Linked DNA regions of Anolis sagrei. The protein of the gene in region 1 binds, or shares a complex with, the protein of each later gene. Links are inferred from orthologs where the notes say so. Each region holds a gene or a part of one and is shown on either strand. Other genes may lie near its edges.

Region 1 (6,927 bases):
ATAAAACATATAGTTTTTGGGTGCATTGGGAACATTTCTGTGGCTGCTCTCTGCCATTGCATCCTAATCCTCACAGTATAAATACCTGAGTCTCCCCACCACCACCACCACCTCATTCCCGTCCATCTCTCAGCAAGAAATCATCTCCATGAATCCAGATCTAAAGGGAGCCTCAGAGTGTGTTGGTTAGGGCAAAACTCTACAGGAGAGGGGTGTGGGGCTATCCTATTGTCTGAGGAACATCTCTCTTCCACCTCCATGGGGCTGTTGGCCTTGGCAGTTGATTAGATGAATCCTCTAGGGGTTTCTGGGCTCTGGGCAGTTTTGGGGTTAGCTGTTGAGCAAGATCGGACCTTTTGAATCTCAGCAGCTGCGGAAGTTATATTAATTCTGTACACACACACACAAGAAATAATGTTTAAATTCATATTTTAGGGAGTGGAGGGGTCATTTTTTGACAAATCAAGCCAGTATCTTCAACTGCAATAATTAAAAAATGTTTAAAATGCATACTGTTCTGTTTCTTGTCTCTAGAACCATGTATTCTATGACAACACACATTTTTTGTCTTGGCAGCAATGAAATGTTGGGCTAGATGCATTGCTGATATTGCAGTGAACCGCTATGAGGATGCTCTTAGTGCATTGAATTTTATCTAATCTAAATTTTAATATCGTTGTATGCATTTGATGTGTGATACTGTATTTTAATGGTATTGTATTCTAATGGTATTGAATTGTAATAGGCGAGATCTGTATTCCAATTGTTTTATGAAGTACTTTGGTATGTTTTTGGATTGTTGTGCTTGTATATTGTACTTCTTTGTGTGCAAATGGCCTATAGTGAGGCATTAACAAACAAAACAGAATATTATCCCATGTAACATAAAACCCCAGAGGTCTTAGAAGTGCAAGCACTGGAAAACAGTCAGCCTAGTATACTTGATAGAGTAGAATTGTGTGCTTTAGTTACTGGGAATTAGACAGTTATTATTATTTTTGTAAGTATATTAATAGGGGGAACTATCAAATACCTTGTAATTGAAGCAAAGGAACTTCATTTCTGCCAGGAGCTGCAGGCTTCGTCTCTCCTTCTTCACTTGCTCCAGGCCTTCTGTTCCCTTTTTCAAAAATGGGTTGGTCCCTCCCCAAAGAAGGGCCACCAAGAGACAGGCACTTAGTTCACCTGCAAGAAAGGAAACTTCTAATAATCATTGTAATGGTAATTTGGAAGGATTTTGCAAAAGAGTATTCGAGAAACCCCTCTTCCTCCTGGAGAGAAGTGCCAAGAAGAGGGCCCAGTCCTGGGCCATTCAGGACTATTCAAAGTCTCGATTGATGACTTAGATAACTGAATAGAAGGGAGGTTTATACACTTGAAAATGGGACCTTGTTGGGAGGGATGGCTAAGACTCTAGAAGGCAGGATCAGGATCCAAAGTGACCATGGGAGATTAAAAGGATGGATCAAAATTATTATTATTATTTATTTACTGATGTTTAATGATTTATGTTACAATTGTTTTTAATTGCCCTATACTTGTCTCGTGATGTTTTGTATAGATGTTGTTCACTGCTTTGAGTCGCCTGAGGGCTGAGAAAAGCGGTATATAAATAAAGTAAATAAATCAATAATAAATAAATATTTACAGTATTTATATACAGCCTTTCTCACCCCTGGGGGGACTCAAAGTGGGGGTGGGGGACTCAAAATGTAAGGCTTCTTGTGGAGGGAAAAAGTAGTGTGTAAATAAACATAATAACTAACCAAACGAACTTCAACAGGGACAAATGTATAATATGACGCTTTGACAATAAACATAAAATGGATAGATATAGGATGGGTGACCCCTAGCTTGAAAGCAGTCCATGGGAACGGGGTCTAGGAGTCTGAGTGGACCACAAGCTGAACATGAGCCAACACTGTGATGCAGCAGCGAAAAAGGCCAATGTGATTCTAGGCTGCATAAATAATATAGTGTCTAGATTAAAGGTACTCATAGTCCCACTCTCTTTTGTGTTTATTTATTTATTTACCACATTATACTCTGTGCCTCTTACCCTGAAGGGATTTTCAGGCAGGCTGGCAGAAACTGCCGTATAATCAATTGTACTATACCTGTGTACCCTGTTGGTGGCATAGGTATAGGCAGCTTGCGTTATGTCATGCTGGGTTCCATTGAGGTAGTGCAATGGATGCAAGGAGAGAAGTTCTAAGAGAATTGACTTGTATTGTCAAAGGCTTTCATGGCCGGAATCACTGGTTTGTTGTAGGTTTTTTCGGGCTATATGGCCATTTTCTAGAGGCATTCTCTCCTAAGGCCTCTAGAACATGGCCATATAGCCTGAGAAAACCTACAACAACCCAAACTTGACTTGTTTCTGATTATGTCTTGAGAAACCCTGTCAGCAGATGTAACCTGACCATCTTGTCCAAAGTTAGTGCCTTCCACTTGTTTCACACCCGCTCCAATTCTAGCATTAAAATCACCACACAAGATAAGCTTTGTGGAGGGATATTGGCATTCCAAACAGGTGAGGGTTTCAGATAGCCCAATCCAGACATTAGGGCCTCAATTTTTGATAATATATTAGGCAGAGTCTGGATGACCATCTGCCAGGAGGGCTTGGGTGGTGCCTTCCTACATAATGGTAGAAGGGGGTTGGACTGGATGGCCTTTGGGATCTCTTCCAATGCTAGGATTCTATTATTATTATTAATATATTAAGCAGAGGCTGAATTGACATCTGCAGGAGGGCTTGGATGGTTCCTTCCTGCATAATGGCAGAAGGAGGTTGAACGTATTATTATTATTAGGTTGAACGTATTATTATTATTATTATTATTATTAATATATTAAGCAGAGGCTGAATTGACATCTGCCAGGAGGGCTTGGATGGTGCCTTCCTGCATAATGGCAGAAGGAGGTTGAACTGGATGGCCTTTGGGACCTCTTCCAATGCTACGATTCTATTATTATTATTATTATTAATATATTAAGCAGAGGCTGAATTGACATCTGCCAGGAGGGCTTGGATGGTGCCTTCCTGCATAATTGTAGAAGGGAGTTGGACTGTATGGCGTTTGGGGTCCCTTCCAACTCTAGGATTCTCTTATTACTATTATTATTATTATTATTATTATTATTATTATATTAAGTATAGACTGAATGGACATCTGCCAGGAGTGCTTGGGTGGTGCCTTCCTGCATAATTGTAGAAGGGAGTTGGACTGTATGGCGTTTGGGGTCCCTTCCAACTCTAGGATTCTCTTATTACTATTATTATTATTATTATTATTATTATTATTATATTAAGTATAGACTGAATGGACATCTGCCAGGAGTGCTTGGGTGGTGCCTTCCTGCATAATTGTAGAAGGGAGTTGGACTGTATGGCGTTTGGGGTCCCTTTCAACTCTAGGATTCTATTATTAATAATATTATTCATATTCAGCAGAGGCTGGATGGACATCTGCCAGGAGGGCTTGGATGGTGCCTTCCTGCATAATAGGAGAAGGAGGTTGGACTGCATGGCCTTTGGGGTCCCTGTCTTCCAATTCTAGGGTTCTTTGAGTCCTGTTTCTCCATGAGCCTGCTTATGAGTTTGTATGGCCATCTGTTGGGAGGGCTTTGGTTGTGCTTTTCCTGCCTCCAGAAAGTAGTTGGACTGCGTGACCCCTGGGAATCCCTCCCAGCTCTGGGACGCACTGCTTCTACAGAGGCCGAAGGTGGCCATGGACCCACACCGTTTCTAATACACGTGGGCATGAAACTAAAGTCCCCCCCCTTCCTTTCTCACCCAGCGACGCCATGGCGACCGGTCATAGAGTAGAGGGCTAGACTGACGCAAACAAGTCCTACTTCCGGTTTGGCGCAGCTCTTGTCAACCGGAAGTGTGAGGCTCTCTTCTCTTTTTATATCTCTATGGACACCTGGTTTCGGCTTTCCGTTTCCGGTCTCGTGCCGGAAGTGGTTCATCTGGCCTCTTCTGCGCCGCCTGGCCTTCCTTTGCCGCAGCCATGGTGAGTCCCTCTTCCCCTGAAGCTGCCCATGAGTCGGTTTAGTGGATCAATCCAGCCTGGTCTGGGCCTGGGCCTCTCCGTTCCCTATCGCCAGCCCCAGTGAGCAACCTTGCTGCAGGTGTTTGGACCAGCTGAGGTTTCTGAGCACTCTTTAAAGGCAGCCATACCTAGAGCGCGTTACAGTATTCCAGATGGGATATAACTAAGGCATGGATCACCATTGCCAGATCTGGCTTCTCATGGAATGGGCGCAGTTGGTGCACAAGTTTTAATTGTGCGAAGGCCCTCCTGGCCGCTGCCGATAGCTTCAGCAGGATCCCCAGACTTTGAATCTGTGTTTTCGGGGGGGGGGGGGGCATCCAGCGCAGGCTGGATCCCTATTCCGTGGTCTGCCTTCCAACTGATCAGGACTACCTCTGTCTTGTCTGGATGAAGTTTCAATTTGTTTGCCCTCATCCGAGGTCATCCTGGTCAGTTGCAGCCTGTGCTGGATGGGGTTACACTCCCCTTGAAGGCACAGGTTCGCAGCTTAGGAGTCCTTTTGGATTAATCGCTGAGTCTGGATCCTCAGGTAGCAGCGGTGGCCAGGGGGGCTTTTGCACAATTAACACTTGTGCACCAGCAGCGCCCGTACCTTTGGAAGCCAGACTTGGCCACGGTGGTCCACGCTCTCATTACATCCAGGATAGACTACTGCAACATGCTCTACGTGGGGTTGCCTTTGAAGACGGTTCAGAGGCTTCAAATAGTCCAAAGAGAAGCAGCCAGGTTAATAACTAGGGCAGCTAACAGGGAGCACACAACTCCCATGTTACGTCAGCTGCTCTGGCTGCCTGTTTGCTACCGGGCACAATTCAAAGTGCTGGCTTTGGCCTATAAAACCCTAAACATCCCAGGCCCAGTTTATTTGTCTGAACGCATCTCCCTTTACGAACCACTGCGGAAACTAAGATCTTCTGGGGAGGCCCTGCTCTCGGCCCTGCCACCATCACAGGCGCGTTTGGCAGGGATGAGAGACAGGGCCTTCTCAGTGATTGCCCCTCGGTTATGACAATATTAGATCAGCCTCCTCCCTCCTGTCCTTCAGAAGAATGTGAAGATCTGGCTGTGGGTCCAAGCCTTTGGGGCAGTGCAATGAGGCAAAATGGTGTCCTGAGATGGTTTTTAAGCAACTTTTAATGTGAATATAAGTGATTTTAATGTTTGTATATATTTATGGTTTTATGTCCTGGCATTGAATGTTTTCCATATATATGTTGTGCTCTGCCCTGAGCCCCCTGCGGTGTGAGAAGGGCGGAATATAAATGTTTTAAATAAATAAATAATTGCTGATTATAGATGCTGGTTTAGGGTCAGAACAGCTTCCTTGGCATTAGGTGGAAAGGAGTAGTAGAGTTGGATGTCATCTGCGTATAGGTGGCATCATACTCCAAAACTCTGGATGACATCTCCCAGCAGTTTCATGTATATGTTAAACACCATGTAGGTTAAAATGGAACCCTGAGGAACCCCGCAGGTCAACAGCCAGGGGTCCCCCAGCACTACCTTCTGGGTACGGCCTTTCAGGAAGGATCAGAGCCACTGCAAGACAGTGTCTCCCAATCCCATCCCTGTGAGACAACCTAGAAGGATACCATGGTTGATGGTATTGAAAGCTGCTGAAAGGTCCAGGAGAACTAACAGAGTACACACTCCCCCCTATCTAGGTCTCTGCGGAGGTCATTCACCAAGGCAACCAAAGCTGTATCTGTTCCATTGCCAGGCCTGAAACCAGATTGAAATTGATCTAGATAATCCATTTCACCCAGAAATCCCTGAAGTTGGGAGGCCACCACATGATCCAAGTCCTTGCTCAGAAAGGGGAGGGGTGCACACTGGCCGATAACTCTCCATTATAGAAGGGATCAGGGGTGGCTTTTTAAATATAGGCCTCACAACAATAGGAATAATAATTGAAATAATAATGGGAAGAATAGGAATAAGGTACTGTTCCATTATCTGGATGGAATAATAATGATAATAGGAATACTCCTAATAATAGGATTAATAATAAGAATAGGAATAATAATAATGATAATAATCATAGGAAAGAGCTAAAAACTTGGTTCTTTCTGCAGGCCTTTGATAATGTTTAAGATACTAACCAGATTACTATATTTAGCCAGGGAAGTCTAAATTGATTGTATGGATCTTTTAATTAATTATTATTGCCATATTTTATTGATTATGTTGCTCTTGTTAACTTAATATGCCTAGTTTTAAATGTGTTATTGGTTTTTAATGTTGATATATTGTATTTTATGTTGTATGGCACCATTGTGTGCTTTGTGAGTTGCCCCGAATCCCTATGGGAGATGGTGGCATGGTATAAATAAAGTTTATTATTACTATTATTAGGAATACTACTAATATTAGGAATGATAGGAGTATGAATAACAATAATAATAGGAATAAATCTACAGCTGTGTTTGTGTTTCTATCCATGTATGTTATAGGATATTTAATTTATATGATACATGTTATCATGTTATCTCTTGGTGCGCTATGTTTTATAAGAAATGTACTGCTATTTATACCTTCTCCAAAAAATAGATACAGCTTTGCAGATTCAGAGAGCAAAAACAGAGAAAGGAATGAAATCTCTACAAGGCAGTATGGTTCAGACTGTGTTAAAGCACATTGTTCTTTTCTTCCCACAGAAACCTATCCTCTTGCAGGGCCATGAGCGGTCTATTACTCAGATCAAATATAACAGGGAAGGAGATCTACTCTTCACGGTCGCCAAAGATCCGGTAATGATTTTCTATATTTCCACACACACCCCACTTCTATGTGTATATATAAAGGAATTGAAAATCACAAATGTTCTACTGCAGCATCTGTCTGTCGATCTACAAATCAGAAT
Region 2 (7,643 bases), on another chromosome or scaffold:
CTCATTTGTAAATTGGGGGCTATTTATCACGTCAGGAGTGAATTGAGACTAGTTAAAATGTATAAAAATGACCACAAAACTTGGCATGATGCTAAATGACCTTTGACAAGAAGCTGGCCACTGGTGTCGCTGTGAGAGGGTGCATATGGTAGGACTCAGACTGCATTGTAGCAAGTGGTTGGGAGGCCCTGGTGATGTCAGCTCCAGCTTCCGCTTTTTTTTTTTTCATGAGAAGGAACATGGGTTTTTGTTTTTTTTTTGCCGTGTCAGGAGCAACTTGAGAAACTGCAAGTCGTTTCTGGTGTGAAAGAATTGGTTGTCTGCAAGGACGTTGCCCAGGGGACGCCAGGATGTTTTGATGTTTTACCATCCTTGTGGGAGGCTTCTCCCATGTCACGAGACAGGGCCTTCTCTGTGGCGGCCCCCCGATTTTGGAATGCCCTTCCAAAAGATCTTCGCCAGGCCCCTACTTTAGCAGCTTTCAGAAAGAACCTAAAAACTTGGCTGTTCCGATGTGCCTTCTCAGATTAGGAATCCCCACCCAAGTCCTAGAAGCACTTTAGCACAATTAACATTAATGCACACCGTACTATTTTATTCCCATGCTCCTCCTACCACTCTAGCACTTTTAACCCTGTACCCCATTGCGCTGGCCGGCCCAGTTTTAAAGTGTCATGATGTATTGTTATTGTCGTTATTGCTTGCTTAACTTATTGATTTGCTATGTTTTCTACTGTTGTGTTTGTTTTACTGTATTGTGTTTTGAGGCTTCGGCCTGTGTAAGCCGCATTGAGTCCTCCGGGAGATGCTAGCGGGGTACAAATAAAGTTAATAAATAAATAAATAATAAATAAATGTCCCCCCACGGGGAGCTGAAGCTGACAGAGTGAGCTCATCCACGTTGACTGAAAGGTAGGCAGTTCGAATATGGGGAGTGGGGTGAGCTCCCGTCTGTCGGCTCTAGCTTCCCATGCGGAGACATGAGAGATGCCTCCCACAAGGATGGTAAAACATCCGGCTGTCCCCTGGGCAATGTTCTTGCAGGCGGCCAAATTCTCTCTCACACACCAGAAGCGACTTACAGTTCCTCAAGTCGTTCCTGACATGAGAAATTTTTTTAACTGGACGAATTACCACCAAATTTGGCCACAAGACACCTACTAACCCAAGGAGTAACCATCACTCAAAAATTAATTTTGTCATTTGGGAGTAGTAGTTGCTGGGATTTACAGTTCACCTACAATCAAAAAGATTTCTGAATTCCACCAATAATGGAACTGAACTAAACTTGGCACACAGGACTCCCATGACCAACAGAAAACACTGGAAGGGATTGATGGGCATTGACCTTGAGTTTGGGAGTTGTAGTTCACCTACATCCAGAGACCACTGTGGACCCAAAAAATGATGGACCTGGACCAAACTTGGCATGAACACTCCATATGGCCAAATATGAACACAGATGGGGTTTCGGGGGAAATACACCTCGACATTTGGGAGTTGTAGTTACTGGGATTTATAGTTCACCTACAATCAAAGAGCATTCTGAACCCCACCAATGACAGAATTGGGGCAAACTTCCCACACAGAACCCCCATGACCAACAGAAAATACTTAGGGCCATTCAGTCCAACTCCCTTCACTAGGGCAAAACGTAATCAAAGTCCTCCTGACAAAGAGCCATCCAGCCATAGATTTAGATAGATAGATATGATTCACACAAACACAGATATAGTATCATAGGTTTGAAAGGGACCCCCAAAGAAGGACAATTATAAGTTGCATGTTCCAGAGTAGGCAAACCAGACAATCTACCTGCGTGACCGCATATCCATCTACGAACCCACACGTTCACTTCGGTCATCTGGAGAGGCCCTGCTCGTGATCCCACCGGCGTCGCAAGCGCGCTTGGTGGGGACGCGGGACAGGGCCTTTTCCGTGGTGGCCCCCTGACTCTGGAACACCCACCCCAAAGACCTTAGACAGGCCCCTTCATTGGCTGTCTTCAGAAAGAACTTGAAGACCTGGCTTTTCCGATGCGCCTTCCCAGATTAGGAAATCTCCAATACCAAGTCCCAAGAGCACTTTATCAGAACCAATGATTGCTGCACATCGCACATCGCACTTGCCCTGGAAGCCCTATATACACCTCCTGTCACATCAGCACTTTTAATCTTTGTACCCATTCTCTGGACCGGCCCAGTTTTATCGTGTTTTAGTGTATTGTGCCTGCTGATTTGGTGTTTTTTTTTTTTTTGCTTTATTCTGTTTTTAATTTGTTTTATTTGCTTAGATTGTATTGTTGTGTTGTGTGTTCTGTAAGCCGCATCGAATCCTTCGGGAGATGCTAGCGGGGTACAAATAAAGTTTAATAATAATAATTAAATAATAATAATCTCCATGTCAACACTGACAAAGAAACAGCAAGAAATATTGTTTACCCAGAAACATAAAGAAATTACATATATTAGAAACCAACACTTTCTCATTACTGTATTTTCCAGATCACCAGACTGGGCCACAGCAACGCCTGGCAAGGGGACGGCTAGTAATTTATATAATAAGTGGTTTGCTCTTTACTTCAGCGGCTGAGGAAGGGATAGGAATGGGCCTGAGGGTGTGAGGAAGTATGGGAGTTGGAGTCCAAAACAGCTGGAGGGAGGGCCCAAGTTGGCCCAGGTCTGCTACAGAGCCCTCCTTGTTCGTAACTTGGTGAAAAAAGGAGGGAAGAGAAGCAGAGCGAGGCCTTTCCCACCTTGACATCCTCGTCCTCGTCCTCCCCGGCCCACCGGTCTCCCGCCGCCGCCACGGAGGGCGTGGGCAGCCGGGCCTGGTGCCGCCCGTCCTCCTCCGCCTCCGCCGCCGTCGTCTCGAAGGAGTCTGCGCCGGAGAAGGGAGAGGGTGTCAGCAGGGGGCGAAAAAGAGGCCCTTCCTTCCCACCTCCAGGCCTGCCTTCCCGGCCACACTCACCCCAGGAATCCGCCACCGCCGCCATCTTGGTTCTGCCTCAGGCCCGTCAGGCACTCGCGGCCAAGGCCGGAAGAGGAAGAGCCAGACGCCCGCGCGGGGGATGCCGGGAGGAAAAGGAATACGCCGAGAGAGGGCGGGGCCTTAACAAACCACGCCCCTTCAAACAAAGCCACGCCCCCTCCAGCCTACCCAGAGCAACAACGAGATTGGGAGCTTTGAGATGGTTGAACAGAAGCTTTCCGAAGCTCTGGGTGCTCTTACTGCCTATTACAGGGAAAACCAACTGATCCCCAACCCATCCAAAACACAGACATCTGCCTTTCATCTCAAGAACAGACAAGCATCCTGAGCTCTGAGGATCACCTGGAAAGGAATCCCACTGGACCATTGCAGCGCACCCAGATACCTGGGAGTCACTCTGGACCGTGCGCTGACCTACAAGAAGCACTACCTGCACTTCAAGCAAAAAGTGGGCACTAGAAACAATATACGAAAGCTGACTGGCACAACCTAGGGATCACAACCAGACACAGTGAAGACATCTCTCCTTGCGCTATGCTACTCTGCTGCTGAGTATGCATGCCCAGTGTGGGACACATCTCACCACACTAAAACAGTGGATGTGGCTCTTAATGAGACATGCCGCATTATCACGGGGTGTCTGCGCCCCACACCACTGGAGAAATTACACTGCTTAGCCGGTATCACACTACCTGACATCCGCTGGGGAGTAGCAGCCAATAGTGAAAGGACCAAGGCAGAGACGTCTCCAGCTCATCCACTGTTTGGGTATCAACCAGCACGTCAATGACTTAAATCAAGAAATAGTTTTCTAAGATCTACAGAGACACTCGCTGGAACACCTCAGCAAGCCAGAGTCCAAAAGTGGCAGGCTCAAACCCAGAACCTCAACCAGTGGCTGATACCAAATGAGAGACTCCCTCCTGAGAACACAGAAGACTGGGCAACTTGGAAGGCACTGAACAGACTGCGCTCTGGCACCACAAGATGCAGAGCCAACCACAAGAAATGGGCCCACAAAGTGGAGTCCACGACATGCGAGTGTGGAGAAGAGCAAACCACTGACCACCTGCTGCAATACACCCTAAGCCCTGCCACATGTACAATGGAGGACCTTCTTGCGGCAACACCAGAAGCACTCCAAGTGGCCAGATACTGGTCAAAGGACATTTAATCAACTACCAAACTCGCAAATTTTGTATTTTGTCTGTTTGTTTGTTTTGTTCTGTTAGAAATGTAATACAATTGTCTGGTTGCCCCTGACACGATAAATAAAAAAAATAACATTGACAATGAAATGCAACACTGCCTGAGCTCTGCGAGTGCAGCATTTTTGCAAATGAAGCAGAGAGTGTTTGAGGACCGGGACATCCGTAGGGATACCAAGATGCTTGTTTATAAAGCTATTGTCCTCCCAACCCAGCTATATGCCTGCGAGACGTGGATTGTCTACAGGCGTCACATGCAGCTCCTGGAACGATTCCATCAGCGCTGCCTCCGGAAAATCCTGCAAATCTCTTGGGAAGACAAGTGGACAATGTCAGCGTGCTAGAAGAAGCAAAGGCCACTAGTATTGCCGAAGGCTTTCATGGCCGGAATCACTGGGTTGTTGTAGGTTTTTATTGGGCTATATGGACATGTTCTAGAAGCATTCTCTCCTGACGTTTCACCTGCATCTGTGGCAAGCATCCTTACTACCTTTGAGGATGCTTGCCATAGATGCAGGCAAAATATCAGGAGAGAAGGCCTCTAGAACATGGCCATATAGCTCAAAAAACCTACAACAACCCAAAGACCACCAGCATTGAAGCCATGGTCCTCCGCCATCCACTCTGCTGGACCCGTCAAGTTGTTTGGATGCCCGACCACCGTCTCCCAAAGCTGTTTCTCTTCTCCGAACTCAAGAATGTTGGTGGACAGGAAAAGAGATGTATAAATGGGCTCTAATCTAACCTTACAAACTCTGGCATAGACACTGAAAACCGGGAAGCCCTGGCCCTTGAGCGCTCCAGCTGGAGGTCAGCTGTGACCAGCAGTGCTGTAGAATTTGAAGAGGCATGAATGGAGGGCAAAAGAGAGAAATGTGCCAAGAGGAAGGCGCGTCAAGCAAACCCCAACTGGGATCGCCTTCCACCTGGAAACCAATGCCCTCGCTGTGGGAGACGATGCAGATCAAGAATAGGGCTCCATAGTCACCCTGGAGGATTATCCTGCTCGGATGACGAGGGATCGCCTAAGTAAGTAAGTAAGTAAGTTAGCCTCAGCAGTAGACTGAAAGCAAAAACCGAGGACACAGCAGTATCTGTTATAGAACTCCAATATGCCGATGATAATATGGTCTGTGCTCACTGAGAAGAAGACCATACAAGTTGGAAATGACAATCTTCTTCAGGCCTTCTCTAGTAAAGGGTTGCTGTGAGTTTTCCGGGCTGTCTGGCAATGTTCCAGAATCATTTTTTCCTGACGTTTCGTCTACATCTATATCAGGCATCTTCAAAGGTGGTGAAGTCTGTTGGAAACTAGACAAGTGAGGTTTATCTATCTGCATAATGTCCAGTGTGGGAGAAAGAACTATCAATGGCACTAATTATTATTGTTAATTTTTATTTAATATTATTTAGTATGATTATTTTATTACTATTTTGACTATTATTATAGTCAAAATAAAGAGCAAACCACAAACAGGCGGGCCCCAAGTTACAAAGTAAAGAGCAAACCACAAACCACTTATTATATATTTTTTTATTATTATTTACTTCACCTGTATACCGTTTTTCTCACCCCAAGAGGAGACTTAAACATATTTATGGAAAAATATTATTATTATTTAGTATGATTCACTATGTAACATGATTTGTATTCCTGGGTTATCAATGCCATTATTATTATTTATTTATTTGGTATTGTTATTATTATTTAATATGATTTACTATGTAACATAAACACATTTTTTCCCTGGGTTGTCAAAGTCATTACAAAGTCACTGTGGGAGAAGATGCGGGTCAAAAACAGGGCTCCAAAGCCACCTACAAATCCACAAGGAAACCCATAATGGAAAACCATCTTACTCGTCCAATGAGGGATCGCCTAAGTAAGTAAGTAAGCAAAGTCATTAATAATTATTACTAATTATTTATTTAGTATTTATTATTATTTAATATGATTAATTTATTATGATTATTATTGTGGCTATTATTATTTTGTATGATTCAATATGTAACACAATTTTTGTTCCTGAGTTATCAATATCATTAATTAATATTATTAATTATTTAGTATTTATTATTTTTATGATTATTATTAATTAGTGTGATTATTTTATTATTGTGACTATTGTTATTATTTGGCATGATTCACTAGGTGCAACACGATTTTTGTTCCTGGGTTATCAATGTTATTGATTTATTATTATTATATTTTTATTTTTATTTTACTGACACAAAGCCACAGTATGTCACAGTAAACAAGATCTATATGCTGGATTTTGTATCAAAAAATCACAAGTCGAACACTTTCCAAGCGTCTAGGACTGTGTGATGTATTTCCGAATTAGGCGCGCAGATCCAAGTAAGGTGGTGTTTTGCAGTTGACAGATGATTTTGTCAATGTTTATTGTTTCCAAAAGCTGGCTGAGATCTTTTTGCACGGCACCCAGTGTGCCGATCACCACTGGGACCCCCTGGACTGGTTTATGCCAGAGCTTTTGCAATATTTATTATTATTATTATTATTATTAAATATTATTAATATTTGATATGATTCACTATGTAACACAAACATGGTTTTTATTCCTGGGTTATCAATGTATTAATTTATTATTGCTATTTATTATTATTTAGTATGATTATGATTTACTATGAATATTATTATTTAGTATGGTTCACTGTGTAACGTGATTTTTGTTCCTGGATTATGTCATCTCCTAATTGGTTCTATCATTAAAAGCATGAGAAAAGTTTATTAAACTGTGAAAAATTTGTTTTTGTGGGAAGGCACCCTGCAGCAGCACATTTGGGTCTAATTTCCCCATAAATATCTCAACCAATTCAGCCTAGTTTGTGGCAGCCACAAAAACAAAGTTCTGGTGTAGAACAACTACTTTCAAAGTAAAGACTGCACAATTAATCAGGGAGTAATGCATTCAAACCAGAAACAAAAAAAAAATATTAAAATTTTGTCACATAGTGTTATTAGTGGGCTTAGCATACACTTAGCAAACATGCCAGCCTATGACTGAAACAACCAACAGTGCATGCTTTGCAATCACAAGATAGGAGCATTGAGCAGATGGAAAGTGAAGGCAGAGATCAATGCCTGGCCTGTACTTTTGGATCCTCAAGATTGCCAGCACGATTTATATTTGAATAGAAAGTGGCAACCTACTCTGCTTTAGTAATTGTGGGTCTGCAAATCATTCTGCTGCTGGCCTTCCAAAAGAAATGCTCAAGGGAACTCCCATCCCGGGTTTTCCTCTCCTCTTGCAAACCCCATCAGAAGAACCTCACGGGAATCAATAATTTCAATGAGTGTGAATTAACCAATAGAAATTCCCTCTCCTCCAGCAACAGCCAAGCGCCGTTGGGTCTCAACCCTCAGGTAGATGAGGGTTCAGATTTGAGTCCCCCTCGAAACCGCTTTGAGTCCCCCTCGAG
Region 3 (7,136 bases), on another chromosome or scaffold:
GACTGCCAGTGTACAAGCCTCTTTGATCAAAATTTGGTATGCCAGTTGCATCCAACCTAAAACTGGTCAAAGCAACTCTTAGCCACTGATATTACTTGCATTTTGACCAACAGTGATGTGTCCACAGGAAGCTCAAGCTGCAGTTATTAGCTGAACAGTTCCATCCTGATCAGCTGGTTTCCTACATGTTTTATCTAATTTAAGTGGTACATTATTTGCTCTCATTTGCATCTAAATTGCCTCCAGAAATCTGCTGCAAATTCAGCGATGTTCCTGGCACTAGCAGGTAAAAAAAAGAGAGAGAGAAGTAGAACTGTGAACCGCTCCATATGCTGGTAACACTATGATGAACCTCCAGACATTTTTCCCCTATGATTTCATGTTTGACAATAGGAGGAACAAGAGCCATCTACAGGTCTGAGCAAAAATCCCTCAACAACACATTATGGGACTGATCCTCCAGGAAGGCCTAGCACTACCATTAACATACCTCGTAAGTCAGAATTAGCTAGATAGTCCAAAAGGATACTGTGGACAGCAGTAAAAAAAAGGTACAAGAGAGACAACAGAGGTAAATCTTTTCCTTTCACTCCCAGATGTAAATCATCTACCAGGCAAACCAGTACCATTTCCATTCCAAATGGATTTGGAGAGGATTCCAACTACATGGTAACTCTTGTGGTGGCGAATCTATGCCACCCACCCTCACTGACCATCCACCCCTGGTTTGGGCACTCAGTTTGGGCAGTTGGCCATCACTGTTATAACCCCATATCCTTATCAATCCAAGCACCTCATCAATAATTACCTAAAAATATGATACAAACCTTTATCGTCATCTCTCAAGCACACATCACATGCTTCTATGATCTGGGCTAAGTCAATATGAAGTCCACCTTCAGAATTCTCTTCAGAAATTTCTGCTCCCTTGGATTTCAGGTAAGCCCTAAGTTCTGCAGCCTTACAAAAATCAAGCAAACAAAAAAACACCCCTAAAAGTTATTTATGAATGTTGCAAGGAGTTTACATCTAACAACTTAGCAGTGATGGTCACAATGTGTTATTTATGACAGCATACATAATTTCAATATAATTGGAATTTAGACACTATTTTAATGCAAAGGAGCATGTAATCTAACCAAATATTTCTAAACCCCATTTGTGACAGTATTCTTATTAAGGTCCTCACCATGAACCTGACAACCCCAAAGGATATGTGTGCACACAGATCCTACAGAAAAGCCCTAATCAATCTGTTCATAATTATATGGCAAAGCTATAATTAAGACTTTGCTGATTCTTCTACTTTACAGTGCAAGGAACTGCTGATAACTACAAGTAGGGAGAAAGGTTTCCTGATGGGTCAGACTAATCTACAGTGCAGACTGAGCATCCCTTATTCAGGATCTAGAATTATTCAGAAGCCCCCAAATTGTCCATATGCCTTGCTATGATAGTGACACCTTTGTCATACTATAAGCATATGGCTGTGGTTCTCAACCTGTGGTTCCCCATGTTTTGGCCTTCAACTCCTAGAAATCCTAACAGCTGGTTAACTGCCTGGGATTTCTGGGAGCTGTAAGCCAAAACACCTGGAGACCCACAGGTTGAGAACCACTGGCATAAGGTGTATGTCAACATAAAGGAATCTCACGTTTTGACATCTTATTACCGTATATATATATGAAAATATTCCATGACCTAGAGAAAAAATGAAATGCAGACTAAGTAATAGTATGATAGCTGGGTCCAGAAGATCCAAGCGTTACAGAGATGCTGCATCGCTCCTTCGGGAGCGCTGTTTGCACAAGAGAGACTTAACTAATGTAAGCCAGGCCGGAGACAGATATAGAAGGAATGTAAGAGTTCTTTAATGGTGAAACCCTAACCCTAACCCAGAACCGTACCATAAGCCTAACCCTAACCCCTTACCCTTACCCAAACCCTTGCCCTAACCCTTACCCTAAGCATCCCCTCCTTTCTATCCTTCCTTCGCTCTTCCTGCTCTCACTCAGCTCCCTCTCTTCCCTTATTCACAGCCGCCTTTGTGGCATCTCCGTAACGCTCGGAGCTTCTGGACCCAGCTATCATACTATCACCGCAGACTACATCTGGCCCAGGCATTTTGGGCAAGGGACACTCAGCCTGTAACAGCCTTCTATTAAACTCTATTGCTTCTCCTTGGGACGCCCGTATATCACCCCAACAAGAACTTTTTCATAGATTACTGTCCATCTTCCGTACAGATCAGCTGTTCCCAAACTTTGTTCCTCCAGGTGTTTTGAGCTACATCTCCTGGAAGCTCCACACATTTTGCAACAGGTGGATCTACACTTTAGGATTAATGCAGCTTGACACTCCTTTAACTGCCATGGCCCAATGCTATAGAATCACAGGAGTTAAAAGTTTTATGGGGTCCTTAGCCTTTTCTGCCAAAGGGTGCTGGGGCCTCAACAAACTACAATACCCAGGACTCCACAGCAATGAGCCAGGGCAGGTCAAGGGATGTCCAATTGCATTACTTCAACATTGAGGACGCACACCTTGTCATGACTTCTGGGAGGCTAAGTCCAAACATCTGGAGGGCCAAAGGGTTGGGAAACTCTGTTGCAGGTGATGGCATTGCACTGGGATTGGGCCAAGAATGGGCCAACTTGGGCCCTCCAGGTGTTTTGACTTCAACCCCCACAATTCCTAGCAGCCTGTTCGGAATTGTGGGAGTTGAAGTTCAAAGCACCTGAAGGGCCGAAGTTAGCCCATACCTGGGTGAGGTGGGGCTGGGAAGGGAAGGGCCTATGCCAGCCGCCGCAGGGAAAGGGACTCGCGAGGGCCCCGCTGGGAGGGAAGGCAGGCAGGCAGGCAGGCGGGGCTGCTGAGGGGCCTGCCGCGGCCCATGGGCCTCCCCTGGAAGGTCAGCCTGAGCGGGAACACCACCGCCTCGCCTCCCCACCTGGTCTTCCTCCGTGATGTCGATAAAAGCTGGGACACTCATCTCGGCAGCGGCTTCGCTCCCTGCCCAGAGCACGCCGCCCGACCGGAAAGGAACGCGTTCCTTGCTGCTGCGTCATTTCCACGTCCGGGTCACAGGAATCGTATCTCCCTCCCGCTCCGGAGGTCTTAATGCGCACGCGCTCCCTCACGCGACGTTTCCCTCGTTCAGTGAGGAGGCTGTTTGGTCACGAGGTGCGTGGGTAGCCAATCAGGGCGCAGTATTTCCCAAACTCGTCCTCTGAGTGTTTTGGACTTCAACTCCCATGATCCCTAAATACTTGACCGACGCAGCTGAGGCTTCTGGGAGTAGAAGTCCAAAGCTGGAGTTTGGGTATTTAGGCTCCTATAGTCTACAATTCAACCTACAAAACATGGATGACAGATTCATGAAAGAACAAAACATTGGAAGATGAGCCTCTAATTTTAGAAGGAGAAGTGGAAACTGCAGCCAGAGCACTTGGGAGAAAGATATCGCCAAGAACAGATTGCATGCCAATAGAACTGTTTCTAACTAAAACCTGTAAATATGGAAAAACTAAACAATGGCCCATGGATTGGAAACATTCAATATACATTCTGTCTCCCAAGAAAGGAGATATTAGGGATTGCAGTAACCACAGGACTACAGGGAGCGGTCAACCCTCCTGTCTAAGCAGCTCCATTGGCTGCCGTTCATTTTCCGGTCCCAATTCAAGGTGCAGGTTATCACCTATAAAGCCCTAAATGGTTTGGGACCTGCCTACCTTCGTGACCGCATCTCCTTCCACAAACCTGCACGTTCCCTCCGATCCTTGGGGGGGGGGGGGGCTCCTTTCGCCTCTTCCTCCATCACAGGCACGACTTGTGGGAGCCAGGGAGAGAGCCTTCTCCGCTGTGGCCTCCAGGCTATGGAATTCACTACCTGGTGAGATTAGGCAAACTCCCACCCTACCAGCCTTTAAGAAAGATCTAAAGACCTGGCTTTTCTGATGTGCCTTTGGAGAGTGACCATATATTCCAGACCTGTTGTTTCACCTACACTGTTTCCCTCATATTGCACTTTCCCACACCTTATTGAAAGTCTAATTCTACTGTATGAGCTCTGCCCTCACAAATGTACCTTTTCATTGCTATCTCATCCAGTGTTTCATCATTTTATGCTGTGCATTTGGCCCGCTTTTCCAGTTGTTTCTCTTCAATCCTGCTGTCACCTGGGATTGCAACATCGACAATCCATACTTTGTTTTTTAACACGATTGTGAGGTCAGGAGAATCGTGCTCCAAAACTCTGTCTGAATTCAGAAGTCCCAGAGTAGCTTGATGTGTTCATTCTCTGTAACTTTTTCCGGCTTGTGATCCCACCAGTTCTTTGTCACAGGCAGATGGTATTTGTGGCACAAGTTCCAATGAATCATCTGCGCAATGGTGTTATGCCTCTCCTCGTAGTCTTGTCTGCGCGATCTTCTTGCAGCAGCTGAGGATGTGATCTATTGTTTCATCTGCTTCCTTGCAGAGTCTGCATTTGGGATCTGTCATTGACTTTTCAATTCTGGCTTTGATGGCATTGGTTCTAATAGCTTGTTATTTGGCTGCCAGAATCAGGCCCTCTGTCTCCTTTTTAGAGTTCCATTTGTGAGCCACAGCCATGTTTGTTTGTTTTTTGTCAATTTGGCTCTCAATTTTTCCCAGGAACTGTCCATGGAGAGCCTTCTTTCACCGGTTTTCTCTCCTGCTCTGTGTCATCATCATCATCATCATCATCATCATTATTGCATTCATTTACCATGTAACTAATGTGATGTATAAAGCTCTACAAAAATAAATGACAGGTATTATAGCAAAGGAAAGGAAGAGGCACTAAAGAATCACATTATAATCATCTGCATGATAATAGAACTAACACACACAAAATAGAACTAACACACAGGAAATCACTACAAATCTAGCAAAACCTTTGATTGATCATGAAACTATTAATCATTTTTAAAACAATGGAGATGTCATAACATTGGATTGTCTTAATGTGTAACCTGTACTTAGGACAACAGGACAGAATATGGTAAAATGAAATGGTTTCAGAGTGGCAAGTGCGTCAAGCAAGACTGAATTTTATTACCTTATCAGTTTAACATACATACTGAACTGATGATATGGAAAGTAGGATTAGACTTGGAGGAAGGAATGTGCAAAATTGGAGAAAGAAACTTCAGTAATTTAAGATATGCAGGTGAAAATAGTAAATATTTTGAAGTCAAGGGAAGAAAGGGGAGGTTTAATATTAAACTTTAAGAAAACAAAAATTGTTACAGTAAGTCGTAACAGGATCAAGTGTGTGTTAAAGAAAACATTATGATGTTAATTATTATGTGCAGCTAGTAATGTAGGTCAGCCAGCATGTTTGGGCCACACCTGGTGGAGTTTAACTGTATGGATTTTAGAATTCAGTTTGAAGAAGCAATATGCAACTCTGAGGAAGAGAAGCAATATGCTGTAATGCTGCTATGCTAAACAGCGATGCTCTTTGCTATGGTGGAATAGCTATTTACTCAAGGTTTATGGTTTGCTCTCTCATTTGAATGAAGATGAAGCCTTATTCTGTGTTACTTACAAGGACTATGTAGGTTTGTTGCACTGTTTGATTTTGTATGCAACACTGCAAGTTTATGCCTCTGCTGATAAGAGTACAGTTTTCCTTTTTCCGCTTGCTTGTGTGTCGTTTGCATGGGACTTGGCTAAAATCTGCTTCTGCGCAACAAAAATGACTGCCAATAATTTGCATATATTTAACATAGAAATAGTTCAAGATTTTACTTACCTTGCTTCAGTCATAAATTGAAATGGGGACTGAAGTCAAGAAATCAGAAGAAGACTGGGACTTAGAGTACTAAAGCCATTGTATTTCCTGTTTCTGATTCTGAAAGCTGGACAGTGAGGAAGCTAATAGGAAGAAAATCAACTAATTTGAAATGTGGCGCTGGAGAACCGTTCTGCAGATACTGTGGATGTCTAAAGACAAATTAATGGGTCCTAGAACAAATTAAGCCCGAACTCTCTCCCTAGAAGCCAAGATGGCTAAATTGAGACTGTTGTAATTTTGACATATCTTGAAAAGGCATTCCCAGGGGATTGCTTCTTGGCCTCCTTTAGAGAACTGGAACTCTCAAGGATCAAGACACTATAGATAACTCGAAATAGGCTTTATTGTTCACAATGAGTTATCCTTCAGGCATTAAACTTGATGTTTCAAAGGGGGTAAAGAAAATATACATTACAGTCTTTGTAGTCTTGGGTCTAAGGAGTTTTCCAGCTGAGAAGCTTTCCAAGTTCCCTCTTTCTCAATGGCTGTGAAAGTCGGAACATTCACAATCCCAGTCCAATGACCTATATTGAAGGCACAAAGTCTTCCTCTTGATGCCAAAGGACTGGTTTGAAGGCGCTTAAGATTCCTCAACGTCATCCAGGGTGAACTGGGCATGAAGCATGAATCTTAAGAGTACAAACTTAAGAATTGGTGATAAGAGATTACTTGACTAGGGCTTAGAGCCAAGCCTTTCTCGCGTCCATCTGTTGAGCTGTTGATGGTGGAATGAAAAAGAAAGCACGGCCCTCTTCCCCAGGAAGGGACGGAGCCAAACAATTGGGCTGGGGGGGGGGGGCAATTTAACCGGTGCAAAACAACATTGATTGACAGCTATAGATAACCAAACAATTCAACTGTACATTCACATACAAGTGGGGCCAGACGCGCCGTCACAGACAGTAATGCTTAGTAAGGTAGAAGGTAGTAGGAAAAGAAGATACACTGATGGATAGACTCAATCAAGGAAGCCATGATCTTGAGTCTGCAAGACCTAAACAGGGCTGTTTATAATAGGATGACTTGGAGGTATTTTGTTCATGGAGTTGCTATAAGTCAATGTTAACTTAAAGACAGTTAACAAGAACAAGGGCTGTGCATTAGGCAATATTTATGAGGAAGGAACTAACAAAACTATCTCTTGAGTACTCCTTACCTATGAAATTAATAGGTAAATTATACCCCCCATGAACAGTGGGTATAATTTATGACGGAACCCTTCCCACAACGCAGGGGAATTGTCTGCCAGTGTCTGTCATACTTTGTTAAGGAAAAGTCTGAAACAGTTCAGAAAGGAGGAGAGGGAAAG

What was found.
Region 2: EIF3I (region 1) and EIF3J share a complex: the UniProt entries of both Homo sapiens proteins name them as parts of the eukaryotic translation initiation factor 3 (eIF-3) complex. The link is inferred for Anolis sagrei from reciprocal best matches to the Homo sapiens genes EIF3I and EIF3J.
Region 3: EIF3I (region 1) and EIF3M share a complex: the UniProt entries of both Homo sapiens proteins name them as parts of the eukaryotic translation initiation factor 3 (eIF-3) complex. The link is inferred for Anolis sagrei from reciprocal best matches to the Homo sapiens genes EIF3I and EIF3M.

What each region holds. Positions count from the first base shown.
Region 1 is NC_090034.1:83,413,531-83,420,457, reverse strand, and holds the start of EIF3I (eukaryotic translation initiation factor 3 subunit I), read left to right. Parts: upstream 1-3,913; 5' UTR 3,914-4,019; coding exon 4,020-4,022; intron 4,023-6,721; coding exon 6,722-6,814; intron 6,815-6,927. UniProt on the Homo sapiens protein: Component of the eukaryotic translation initiation factor 3 (eIF-3) complex, which is required for several steps in the initiation of protein synthesis.
Region 2 is NC_090029.1:23,331,820-23,339,462, reverse strand, and holds the start of EIF3J (eukaryotic translation initiation factor 3 subunit J), read right to left. Parts: upstream 3,070-7,643; 5' UTR 2,996-3,069; coding exon 2,971-2,995; intron 2,881-2,970; coding exon 2,756-2,880; intron 1-2,755. UniProt on the Homo sapiens protein: Component of the eukaryotic translation initiation factor 3 (eIF-3) complex, which is required for several steps in the initiation of protein synthesis.
Region 3 is NC_090021.1:257,527,378-257,534,513, forward strand, and holds the start of EIF3M (eukaryotic translation initiation factor 3 subunit M), read right to left. Parts: upstream 3,070-7,136; 5' UTR 3,069-3,069; coding exon of another isoform or gene 2,993-3,068; coding exon 2,951-2,992; intron 961-2,950; coding exon 828-960; intron 1-827. UniProt on the Homo sapiens protein: Component of the eukaryotic translation initiation factor 3 (eIF-3) complex, which is required for several steps in the initiation of protein synthesis.